3 linked regions of the Tribolium castaneum genome follow. The protein of the gene in region 1 interacts with the protein of each later gene in a biochemical or structural test. Links are inferred from orthologs where the notes say so. Each region holds a gene or a part of one and is shown on either strand. Other genes may lie near its edges. The genes, in order: Jra, ago and peptidyl-prolyl cis-trans isomerase NIMA-interacting 1.

Region 1 (3,133 bases):
AATGGACCATTATTGGTTTGTGTTAAAAATTTCAAACGAAAAGAATTATTTAATTTAAATAAAATTAGATTATATGATCACGAAATGTTCGGTTTGAGTTCAATATGAAGACTGAATGCAGCTTCAAATAGGGCCTGCGCGAAACCTTGATTCTAACGGAAAGATTCATAAAGTGCGATCTGCGTTTAAGAAAAATATAACGGATTGTTTTTTCAATTTTTATTGATTGATAGTAAATGAACTGAAGTGAAGAAGGGTTACCATTTCCGTAATTACAAAAAAAAAAGTTGGCGTATACGTGTTACTGATTTGCTATGATGTGGCTCGATTAACTCCTACATAGTTTTTTTTTTCCGAAAAAAAAAATGTTTCGTTCGTGTTGCAAAGTCTGCAAAGTTGTGTCTACCCTTTAATTTATTATCCTAATTAGTATTACGAAACCGTTTGATACAATTGGATAATTCACCATATCCGTCCAAATTTGTTGCAATTGATGAAATAACACGTTGAATAACACCATCCATTTTTCCGCTTTGCGAAGGCGAGACAGGAAGTGGCAAATATTCCCTGTGGAATTATTATTTGCAAATCAATTTTATTTGGGTTTTTTAACCTATGAACCGTTGATGTATACCAAGGACGGACCAAGGAGCTCCTTGATGCATACACTCGGGGACGTATTTTGATCGAAAAAGTAATTTAAATGAATTATCCTATTAAGGTCAAGGGAACTGTGTTTACCCTAGGCAAACTAGCTCATACGCTACAAATAAAGCAGGTTAGGAATTTTTTCGTCATTTTGAAGAAATAGACAACTATTGTTGATCTCTTTATTACAATTTCTGTTATTTTAGTGCCAATGCTTCTTATCATACATTTTCTAAATAAAGGTTTTTTCCTCGCATGATAATTAAAAATAGTTATCTATTTGGTTATTACCATAATTTGTTTTTATTTTGTAGTACTTATCGCATTTAAAGTCGGACAGAATATAAAATATTTACACTTTTTTCTTTGTTTCCAAAGTTTTTTTGTAAATTAAATCACAATTTTTGAATGAAAATCGGCTAAAACTTTAGTCGTTAATATCACTGTCTTTTCATTTCTTAAATCGTATTTTTTGGATGGGGTAAGATGGGGTTCAAAGATCATGTTGGCAACCCGTAAAACACTGCGGTCAGTTTCCTGTAGAATTGTCTAGGTGTCGCTTTAGCGAATCATTTCGACATGACGTCATTCTCATTTCTGAAAATCCATGAAAGGGATGACTCATTCATATCGAAAGTTATTACGTCGTATTTGTTAGTATTCTGTAGTATTTCGAGAACAATACTACACAAGAAGTTAAAAGTTATATTCAAGAAATTTTCAAGCCAGTGTTGTGCTACATTGTGAGTCATTACAAATAAAAGCGCTTTGCTTTTGAATGTGGTGTTAAAGTAAGTGTTATAATATTAAAGATTCATTATTTACTTTTTTACCAAGTAATGCTTGAGGGACACCTCACAGACCTTCACTTTGTTTTCTTCTTCGAGAATCTTCATTTCTCGATATTCTTTTGTTTGCTATTGACGTAACTTAACCTAAAATTTCCATTTCAGATTTTATGGAAATTAGTGATTCCGTTTATTATTCACTGTTGGCTTTGGTCGTCGTGCCTGTTTACCTATTTTTCAATCTTTGGTCGTGGTTAGGTTGGGAATTGTACAAAAATAATTGATAAAAAAAATGAGCGGACCCAACTTTGAAAGTCAGCAAAAAAACCTCAGTAACATGAAGAAAAATCTCACTCTTGATCTTAATCAGTCGAAAATGAACATGAACCTATCGTTATCCCCCGACATCACGTCCGTCCTCAAAGTAGATACCCCTGACCTCCTCAAAGTGGACACACCCACCATTGAGAACATCATCTTGGCGAATAATATTTCACACACGCCTTCCCCTTCACTTATCTTCCCGCGGGACGTCACTGTGGAGCAAGAGAAGTTTGCAGGCGGTTTCGTCGAAGCGCTTAATTATCTTCACAATGGCAATTCTCAGCAAGGTTCTGACAGTAATGCCAGTACGGTTTACAGCGAACAGCAGAATTTCATGCCTGTGATCAAAGAGGAGCCCCAAACGGTGCCCAACGTGAATAATACGCCCCCAATGTCTCCTGTCGATATGGAATATCAGGAAAGAATGAAATTGGAGCGAAAGAGACAAAGGAATAGACTCGCAGCCTCTAAATGTCGTTCCCGCAAATTGGAACGAATCTCGAAATTGGAGGATAAAGTCAAACTGTTGAAAAGTGAGAATGTTGAATTGGCTTCAGTGGTCAACCAGTTGAAGGAACACGTGGGGATGCTCAAATTGGAAGTGATGGAACATGTGAATGCTGGCTGTCCCATCATTGCGGGACAGTTTTAAGGATAGAGTACGATTTATATTTTTTTATAAAAATTATACACCAGAGTGATTTTTTTATATTTTGGTGCTGAGATATTCATAGTTGTAGCTTTAATACTGTGACCATATTTTGTATGGAGCCATTTGAATTGTATTATTTACGGTAGATTTAGCGCGATTTGTTTTATTTTATGTAGTTTATCACATTTTTATTAATAAAAATTGTCTCAGTAACAAGTAGTGAATTCATTAAAAAAAATTGGTTAGAATAAAAACAATGGAAAATGGGTAAAGTCTTTAATTAACAATAAATAAAATTCTTTTGTCAAAAGCGACAACATAATTATTCGTGAAACTATATCATCATATCATAATACTGTAAGCGGTCATATTTCTTTGGAAATTAATAATTCTTCTACCCCCATGCGACCCCGATGTCTCCAGACTCTATAACGAGCTAAATCTTTCCTTGTTACCATTCCTATAACCTCATTTGTGTCATTAACAATCGGCAAATGTCGTAAACCGAGAGCTCGGAATAATCTAAACATTCGAGGTAGTGATGCCGACTGAAAAAAAAAAATGATTAAATGCTAATTACTTGTTTTTTTAATTACATGAAGCACCGTATATGGTGACGGATTCATAAACGGCCTCAGATCAATAGAATAAGTTTTTTCAACTTCGGAAACACTCACTTGCTAAAGAATTAAACTTAATTACTTAAAAAGGAAAGGGCGAG
Region 2 (4,412 bases), on another chromosome or scaffold:
AGCCAGTCTGTAGATGTAGCAGTTGCAACTAGCAACTGAAATAAAGTCTTTCGGTTCGCGTTTATCCAGAAGGTAAATGTCGCCGCCTTCTGTGCCCACAACAACGTAATTCGTGTTGTGTTGGTTGCATGCAACGCTGGTTAGAGAGCAAAACTCGTTGTTGTACAAAACTGAAAAATAAATATTTTTCGATAAAAATTTAGCTCAAAAACATCAGTATTAAAAGCTACATCCATTACAAAAAAAAACAATTTCCTATTGTAGCTAACTTTGGACACTTGTATACTTGAAAATAATGTTTACATCTTCACTTTGCTCCCGTGAAATATACATGATTTTTTCGCCTCACTGGACGAAAAAATAATTACCTGAGGCAGGGCACGGATTACGGTCGTCCCAAATACAGCACTTCCGGTCCATTGAAGCTGTGACAAAGACGTTTGGTTCCGACTTAAGTGTATCAACATAGTTTACAAGTTCCGTGTGATAATCGCTGGAAATAAAACTTAGATAAGGGAAAATTGTTGATAAAACTTACGGAAAGTGATTTAGTGGTTTACGGATAGTGCTATTAATGTCCCAAATGGTCACCGCTTTATTCGAGCAGGTGAGTATCCGTGTGCTGTTCTTCCAAACTGCGATTTTCGGAATGCGATCTATTTCCCTATAATAACCTGCCGATTGTATGGTTTGGTTTTCACGTGATATTGTGAGAATATTTAAAAGACCCGTATCTTCAGCTAACGCAAACTATTTTCATATTATTTGTTGTGTGTACACATTTAGCTGAAACTTACAGTACTGTCGTTTAAAAATTTCCCGTCTGAAACCGTGGACCCAATCAAGCTTCTGTTGTGTTTCAGAAGCAACAAATTCTCCTCATTTGAGAAAAATAGCAAAGTGCCTTCCCAAAGAGTCCCGTTTAAGTTCGAACACCCCAGAACTGACTCGTCTAAAAGACAATTAATCGCCAAAATTGAAAAAAACCCACCTTACCTTTTTCATTAAATTCTAGGAAAAGTAAGTGTTTGTAAACGACCGGTGTTGTCGAAAGTTCGACTTTCCGTTGCAGCGATTTATTCGGTGGATAAACCACCGTATTTAATTCGTTTTCAATCATTTTAACACAAATTCAAAAAAGAGTTCGAGGTTAAGTTTTGGTGCAAAAAAGCCACTAAAATCACATGTGCGCCGTTAAATTCCCCCAGCTTGTCACCTTGCTACTCCTGTAACTAAAGTCACGAAATCGTAGCGTAAATTCTCGAAATACAATGCAATGGTGTTGGGGAAAAACACAAAACGGATTTTCCTGCAATTGGTGAGTGTTTTCCAAAAGTTTGGGGTCCTGGATGTTTTTTTGGGCGAATGGTTTGTGGAGTCAGGGTGTTTGTGAAACGGGGCGGCGCCTTAGCCACGCGATTTTGCTGATATTTCTTATTCTTCATTTACACAAGTTCGTCCAGATATTTGTAATGGTGCCAATAAATCCTAGTATTTTGAGAATGGCCGTCAGTGTAGTTTTTTGAAAAGGTATTTTACCCAGCGAGATGCACAAGAAAACTCGCTTTAGTGTCTCGGAGTGATAGGAAGTAGCAAACAGTGGTCCTTGATGCATAGTTTTTGGAAGCATTTCGTTAATTTTCCTTCTTCTCTTGCAATTATCTGGTAGTTAGAGTAGTTTCGTTTCATGCCTTCGAATAATGATAGAAAATTACATCAGTAGGTATGTCAGATGCAATTATTCTAACCATTTTTCCCCCATTGCACTCATCTTGTAATTAAGTAGGATAACGTGTTTCACTCGCGGAGATAATTTTATCGCAAAACTTTACTTAAGACGTTTTTTGTTTTTTCTAGACTGTAGATAATGGCAGAATCATGTCCTTCAGGCAGAAGTAATTTCAACCCCTTATCTAGTATTAATCGAGATTCAGAACTTCCAAAACAAGACTGCACCAGCCCTAGCCCTACTGAAACCGTTTGTCTAGAGTCGTTGTGTACCACTGATAATGCACCAGGTACATCCCAGAATCACTTAGCTCCATTGAGTGAAAAACTAGATGAGATATTTAGAATTAGTCAATCGGGCGAGGAGACTGAAAAAACTAGCTTTCTCAATAAGCTAGGTCTGGAAGAATGTGATGAAGAAGACAGTTTTGAGAAGGAAGAAAACTGGGAGGATTGTACTGAAGGAGACCTCTCTGAAGAAAATCAAGAGCTAGAAGAGGTAACTCCATACAGTGTGTTAACTTTTTACTAAATTATTTTTACAGGACGAAGATAGCAGTGAAGTTTTTTCAGGTTCACCTCCAGGTCCTCATCAAACAACACCAAGGAGTTCGTACGCGAAGAGAAGTGGGTCGTACGCCACTGACAGATACTGGGTAAGCAGAAATTATGTTTGTTGTTTCAAGCGAATGTGCAATAATATTATTTTAAAAATAAACCCATTGACTGTTTCCATCACTGGATAATGCATTTTCTGCAAATGGTTAGCACAAGGCAAACAAAAAATTACAGGCAGAGATAATTTATATTAATTTTGCTTTTTTCTTATTCACTGATAACTAAAATATATGTCACATTTGTCTAACACGTGTAGTTTTCTTAATATATTCACTAAAAGTTTTAAAAATTTGTTTCTGGTGGCATTCATTGTTTCTGTGATCAACTATTGTTAAACCTTGTAATTATTTTAAAATATCTTCAAGTGAATGTAGATTAAGTCCAAACAACTTTTGTTTTGTTTGTGGTAAAATTGTCTATAAAATCTGGGAGACTTAAACGATCAAATGGTAAATATTTTCATCAAATCTTATGAAGAGAGTTATTAAGGTTTTTGGGATAAAAATATGTTATTCGTTTTCTACTAGTCCACATTGAGATAAACACCCTGATAGTACAAGAGAAGAAGCAATCTGTAACATTTTAGATGTTGCGAAAATTGTCAAATACTGATACTTTATAATGAGTATTTAAACTTAATTTGTTTTCGACTTCAGCATCAGATTTAGTGGTAATTATTCTACTGACATTGGTAAAAATCGTGGTAAACTAGTGTAATTATCTGCAATTTTTTGTAAACAAATCAGTGACACATTTTATTACGCCACTGCTCAGGTGGTACTTAATCTTTGCAATACCTGTTGTATTAAATAATTTCTCAATACTAGTTTTTGTTTAATTTTTTTTAACAAAATGTGACTAATAATAAATAATATTACTCTCATAAGTAAAGTTGTGACCATTTTTGGTTGTTGTTTTGACAATTTAAAAAGAAAATAATTAAAAAATACGAGTTGGTCTTGACTATTTGGTCGAAAATGTAATTTAAAGGAATTTGGTTTTAATGAACGCTTACCTTATCTATGTATAATACGAGTTTAAAAACAATCGTCACAGTTTTAATTATGTATTTAATCTTTATATAACTTTTAGATAAAATAACAAAACGAATAATTAAGGGGCATTGGGGAAAAATCGATAAGTAATACGCGAATAAGTCACGTTTACGTAGTAGTGCATTAAAGTTATTGCTCGTTTTTTAAACATTCCCATGGTCAATGAAGGTCTTTAACCTGTTTGGGACTTTGCTGTTTTTAACTATTTAGTTTACTTGTTGTTTTTGTATTGGTAAACACGAGTTGGGCGATAACGTAAATTAAAGATAGACATAAAAGGTAATAATTTTGATCCTTTTTGAAATTATCGTTGTATAATACAAACTAACAATTTTCATAGTTATTTATTATGCCTGTAGATTTTTTTTTAAATTGTTGAAAAAATGTTTGTTACCTTTGACAACCTCTAATTCTGTGTTTAGTAAACAATGTTACTCAAATATCTATGATAATAAAGCAATTTCCACATAATCACATGCATTAGAATACAGTGTAGTAATAATTAACTGCATGTCATAAAAAACTTATCAGGTTAATTTTGCTTTTTAACGCTAGTTTTTCCGGTTTAAGATGTTACATTATTTTCACCTTAATGGTGTTTATGTATTAATCGCAAATGTAAAGAGCTTAACAAAAATAAAACAGTCGTACTTCTTTTTTTTTAATGATGAAACTTGTAAGTGTTGAGTCGATAACATAATACGTTGATCGACATATGATTTTAGCCTAATCTTCTCTCTGATATTTTTTGAAACGAATATTTTGTGCTGTTTTGTTAGCAGTTGTAATGTGTTTTGTTCGGTTTTTTTAGAGAAAACGGAAGTTGGACGTGCAGAATGGGTTTCCGTGCAAGAAGTTGCTACCAGAAAAGAAATCTGACGTTACTTCGATGTCATCTGAGCCCTCTGCTCGTGCGCCGACGGCGCCCGAAACCAACGGTGAGAAAATACAAGCGATAATTAACTTTTTTCGACTTCGAAATGAAATATCTCCAAACTTAATACAAATTTT
Region 3 (2,859 bases), on another chromosome or scaffold:
TAATGTTCATAAAATGTTTTTCAGAAACAATTTTCATGTGTTCTAACAAGAAACGGAATAAATATGATTCTAATCCACCTAACTTAATCACCGACTAATTAAAAGTGTTGCAATTTTTTGAAGGGATGAACAAGCTAGAGATCCAATCTTTCAAAATTTGTAATCGAGTTCGTATTGGAATATGTATTGTTGATTGCATTTTACAGGCGCAGGCCTTGTAAAATTACGTGGAAGACCCTGTATTGATTATTATTGAAGCATCGTTTTCTTTGTAGTTACACCATAACGTTTTACAGCAGTTAATGCTGTTTATGATAAACAATCCTCAAAATAAGATGTTTCGACAACGGTGACCAAAAGATATTTACGATACCGATCGGTTCGTCTGAAAGACTACATCCTGGTTTGAAGTAATCTCAATAAAATTTAATGGTGTACAAGCAAAACGTTGCAACAATACTTTTTGTGTAAAAAAATCTGTGTGTATTAGTAGTTTCGAACTATTGTAACTACGCGAAAGGCACTTTGAAAATAAAAGATAGTTATTACCTATTATTGATTTAAATCTTCTCATCCTCACTTGTATTATGCTTGCATCTTAGCAAATGTTTTACTTTTGATTCTGGAATAAAATCCGGGCTAACAGGAGTGCTTAGGGCTCTTTATTGTGCATAAACAAAATAACAAAAGTATCAGGAATAAGTTACCTCATTAATAAGTAAAAAGTACAATATAAAAGAAATTTACACTAAATTTACAGCTCCAATCTCATCGCAATATATATAAATATGAATTTGTTTGGCATAGATGCATCATAAATTACGTTAACAAGACCTGAAAGAACATGAATGAACTTATAATAAATGTAAAAATGGTCTAGAAAGAGTACAAATCTAAACAGTACGCAGAATAATATGCACCCCCGAATCGGTAAAGACAGGTTCTGACAACTCCCCAACCTTGAGCGCAAACGACGCCTCCTCAAAGGGCTTCTGCATGGCCCCCCGTTTGAACGAGCCAAGGTCGCCCCCTCGTTTAGCAGACGAGCAATCCGAGTACTTTGAGGCTAAGTCAGCAAACGAGGCCTTGCCCTGGACGATTTGTTCGCGATACGCTGAAAAAACGTTCAAAAGTGGTGACATTTCTTGGCCAAAAACACTCACATTTGACTAATTCCAAGGCTTCGTCTTTAGTCCTTGTGATGTTCTCCTCTCGCCAAGAGGACGGTCTTCGCGAGTCTTTGTGTTTGACGAGTAAATGTGAGCACTGGACTTGTTCGGGGCCGCTCGAAGACACAGGTTCTGCCGGTTTGTCGGGAACGTCCCATTGGGACTCTTTGGTGTAAACGTTCAGGTAGTAGTGTTGGCCTAAAATACACGTTTTGAGTCAAGGGAGAATGATTAAAACTTAACCGAATTACCGGTTGACCGACTTAACCGCTTTTCCCACCCAGTAGGCAACTGTTCGTCCGCCATTTTCCTAGAATGCGTGTTTATTTATCGGCTAACTTCACTCGAGGCTTTATTTCTGTGAAGACAGCTACACGAGTTAGCTCCTTCAGTTTCCGGAAATACCCGGACACAAACCACTTTCACACCAACAAAATAAGCGATTGTATGGTTGGTTGCCAACACTAAAGACGTTCAATATTGAGAAAAACTGAAAAACACAAACTTCTCTTAAGGCTTCAGGGTACCGAAGCGATTGTTGAGAATTGGTGTACTACAAGTTGCATACTTTTTTAGACCTGTTTTCAGTGACAGCTGTCAATCATCGGATAGGCATCCGACCTTCGCCTCGGGGTGTCTTGTCCCTTCTCATAAAATGCAAATAATGTAAACAAACTGAATTCCACTATCGCCCACGATAGTTTCTCTTATTTCAGAGATTCAAGCAACATACAGTAAAAAAGACGTTTTTTATTTTGTTAAAAAAATTTGATACTAAAGAATAATAAAATACTAGCATAGTTTTGTAAAAAATAATACACCATTACACCATTTATTTATTGGGTTTTATGTTTTAATTAACCGAATTCTGTTCGCTATATTATGTGTCATGTGCATTTCTAATTGGATCACTTGCATTGAAAAAATATAAAATAAAAAAATTAATTGGTGAAACATTATTGTTCTTTCAGAAAACAGTTTAACTTTAAAAAAGTTACTAGGAATATCTCATTAAAATGATGAAAACTTCATTAAACCCGCTTTTTCGTCTGATAATTTTATCCAGGTAATAAATTCTGAAAAATACATTGTTGTAAAAATTTATTCTAACTATACCCAGTAATAATTATAGTACAAATAACGTATCGAGAGATTGTAAGATCCAGTCTTAGGGATATAATTTGTTTACGTTACGCCTTGTAAAATAAATGATACTTTTATAATTATGTATTATTTTAGAATTTAGGAATTATTTCTCGTTTTTTTATTAAATTTATACAATTTTTCTATAACTAGCTTGCGAAGATATAGCTGCGTTACTCTTACATTATATAAATTTTGTGTATTTCTTTAAAATATAACGCATCTTCTGGTGTTGCAACAATAGTCGGTGCAAGGACTAAAAAAATTTTATACGTGGGAGTTAAAAATAAAAATTGTAAAAAATGTATGTATTATAAGAAAAAAAACCAAACGACGCCCCCTCATAAATGTTTTAAAAATTGGAAAAACACTTCAACTTCAATGGAAGCAGCAATTATTTTGGATGGATTTAAAAAATCAGTAGACATGCATAACGTAAGATTTAAAAACCTCATAGGAGATGGTGATAGTAGCGTCTACAAAAAAATTCGTAATGCAAGACCATACGGGCCTAATTATTTTATTAAAAAAATTGAATGCCGAAATC

The links.
Region 2: the proteins of Jra (region 1) and ago form a complex in vitro, tested with the Homo sapiens proteins (3 studies listed by BioGRID, with this or other methods). The link is inferred for Tribolium castaneum from reciprocal best matches to the Homo sapiens genes JUN and FBXW7.
Region 3: the proteins of Jra (region 1) and peptidyl-prolyl cis-trans isomerase NIMA-interacting 1 form a complex in vitro, tested with the Homo sapiens proteins (2 studies listed by BioGRID). The link is inferred for Tribolium castaneum from reciprocal best matches to the Homo sapiens genes JUN and PIN1.

What each region holds. Positions count from the first base shown.
Region 1 is NC_087399.1:146,122-149,254, reverse strand, and holds Jra (Jun-related antigen), read left to right. Parts: upstream 1-1,295; 5' UTR 1,296-1,439; intron 1,440-1,487; coding exon of another isoform or gene 1,488-1,560; intron 1,561-1,601; coding exon of another isoform or gene 1,602-1,720; 5' UTR 1,721-1,728; coding exon 1,729-2,412; 3' UTR 2,413-2,628; downstream 2,629-3,133. Other genes in the region: uncharacterized protein LOC663924, read right to left, coding at 1-10; phosphatidylinositol N-acetylglucosaminyltransferase subunit Y-like, read left to right, coding at 1,488-1,560, 1,602-1,720; ClC-b (H(+)/Cl(-) exchange transporter 7), read right to left, coding at 2,778-2,960, 3,009-3,092. UniProt on the Homo sapiens protein: Transcription factor that recognizes and binds to the AP-1 consensus motif 5'-TGA[GC]TCA-3'.
Region 2 is NC_087394.1:36,179,949-36,184,360, reverse strand, and holds the start of ago (archipelago), read left to right. Parts: upstream 1-1,462; 5' UTR 1,463-1,723; intron 1,724-1,857; 5' UTR 1,858-1,867; coding exon 1,868-2,227; intron 2,228-2,273; coding exon 2,274-2,384; intron 2,385-4,212; coding exon 4,213-4,339; intron 4,340-4,412. Other genes in the region: uncharacterized protein LOC655874, read right to left, coding at 1-170, 369-493, 539-750, 798-952, 997-1,120. UniProt on the Homo sapiens protein: Substrate recognition component of a SCF (SKP1-CUL1-F-box protein) E3 ubiquitin-protein ligase complex which mediates the ubiquitination and subsequent proteasomal degradation of target proteins.
Region 3 is NC_087394.1:12,589,572-12,592,430, forward strand, and holds peptidyl-prolyl cis-trans isomerase NIMA-interacting 1, read right to left. Parts: upstream 1,579-2,859; 5' UTR 1,476-1,578; coding exon 1,421-1,475; intron 1,368-1,420; coding exon 1,164-1,367; intron 1,115-1,163; coding exon 894-1,114; 3' UTR 641-893; downstream 1-640. UniProt on the Homo sapiens protein: Peptidyl-prolyl cis/trans isomerase (PPIase) that binds to and isomerizes specific phosphorylated Ser/Thr-Pro (pSer/Thr-Pro) motifs.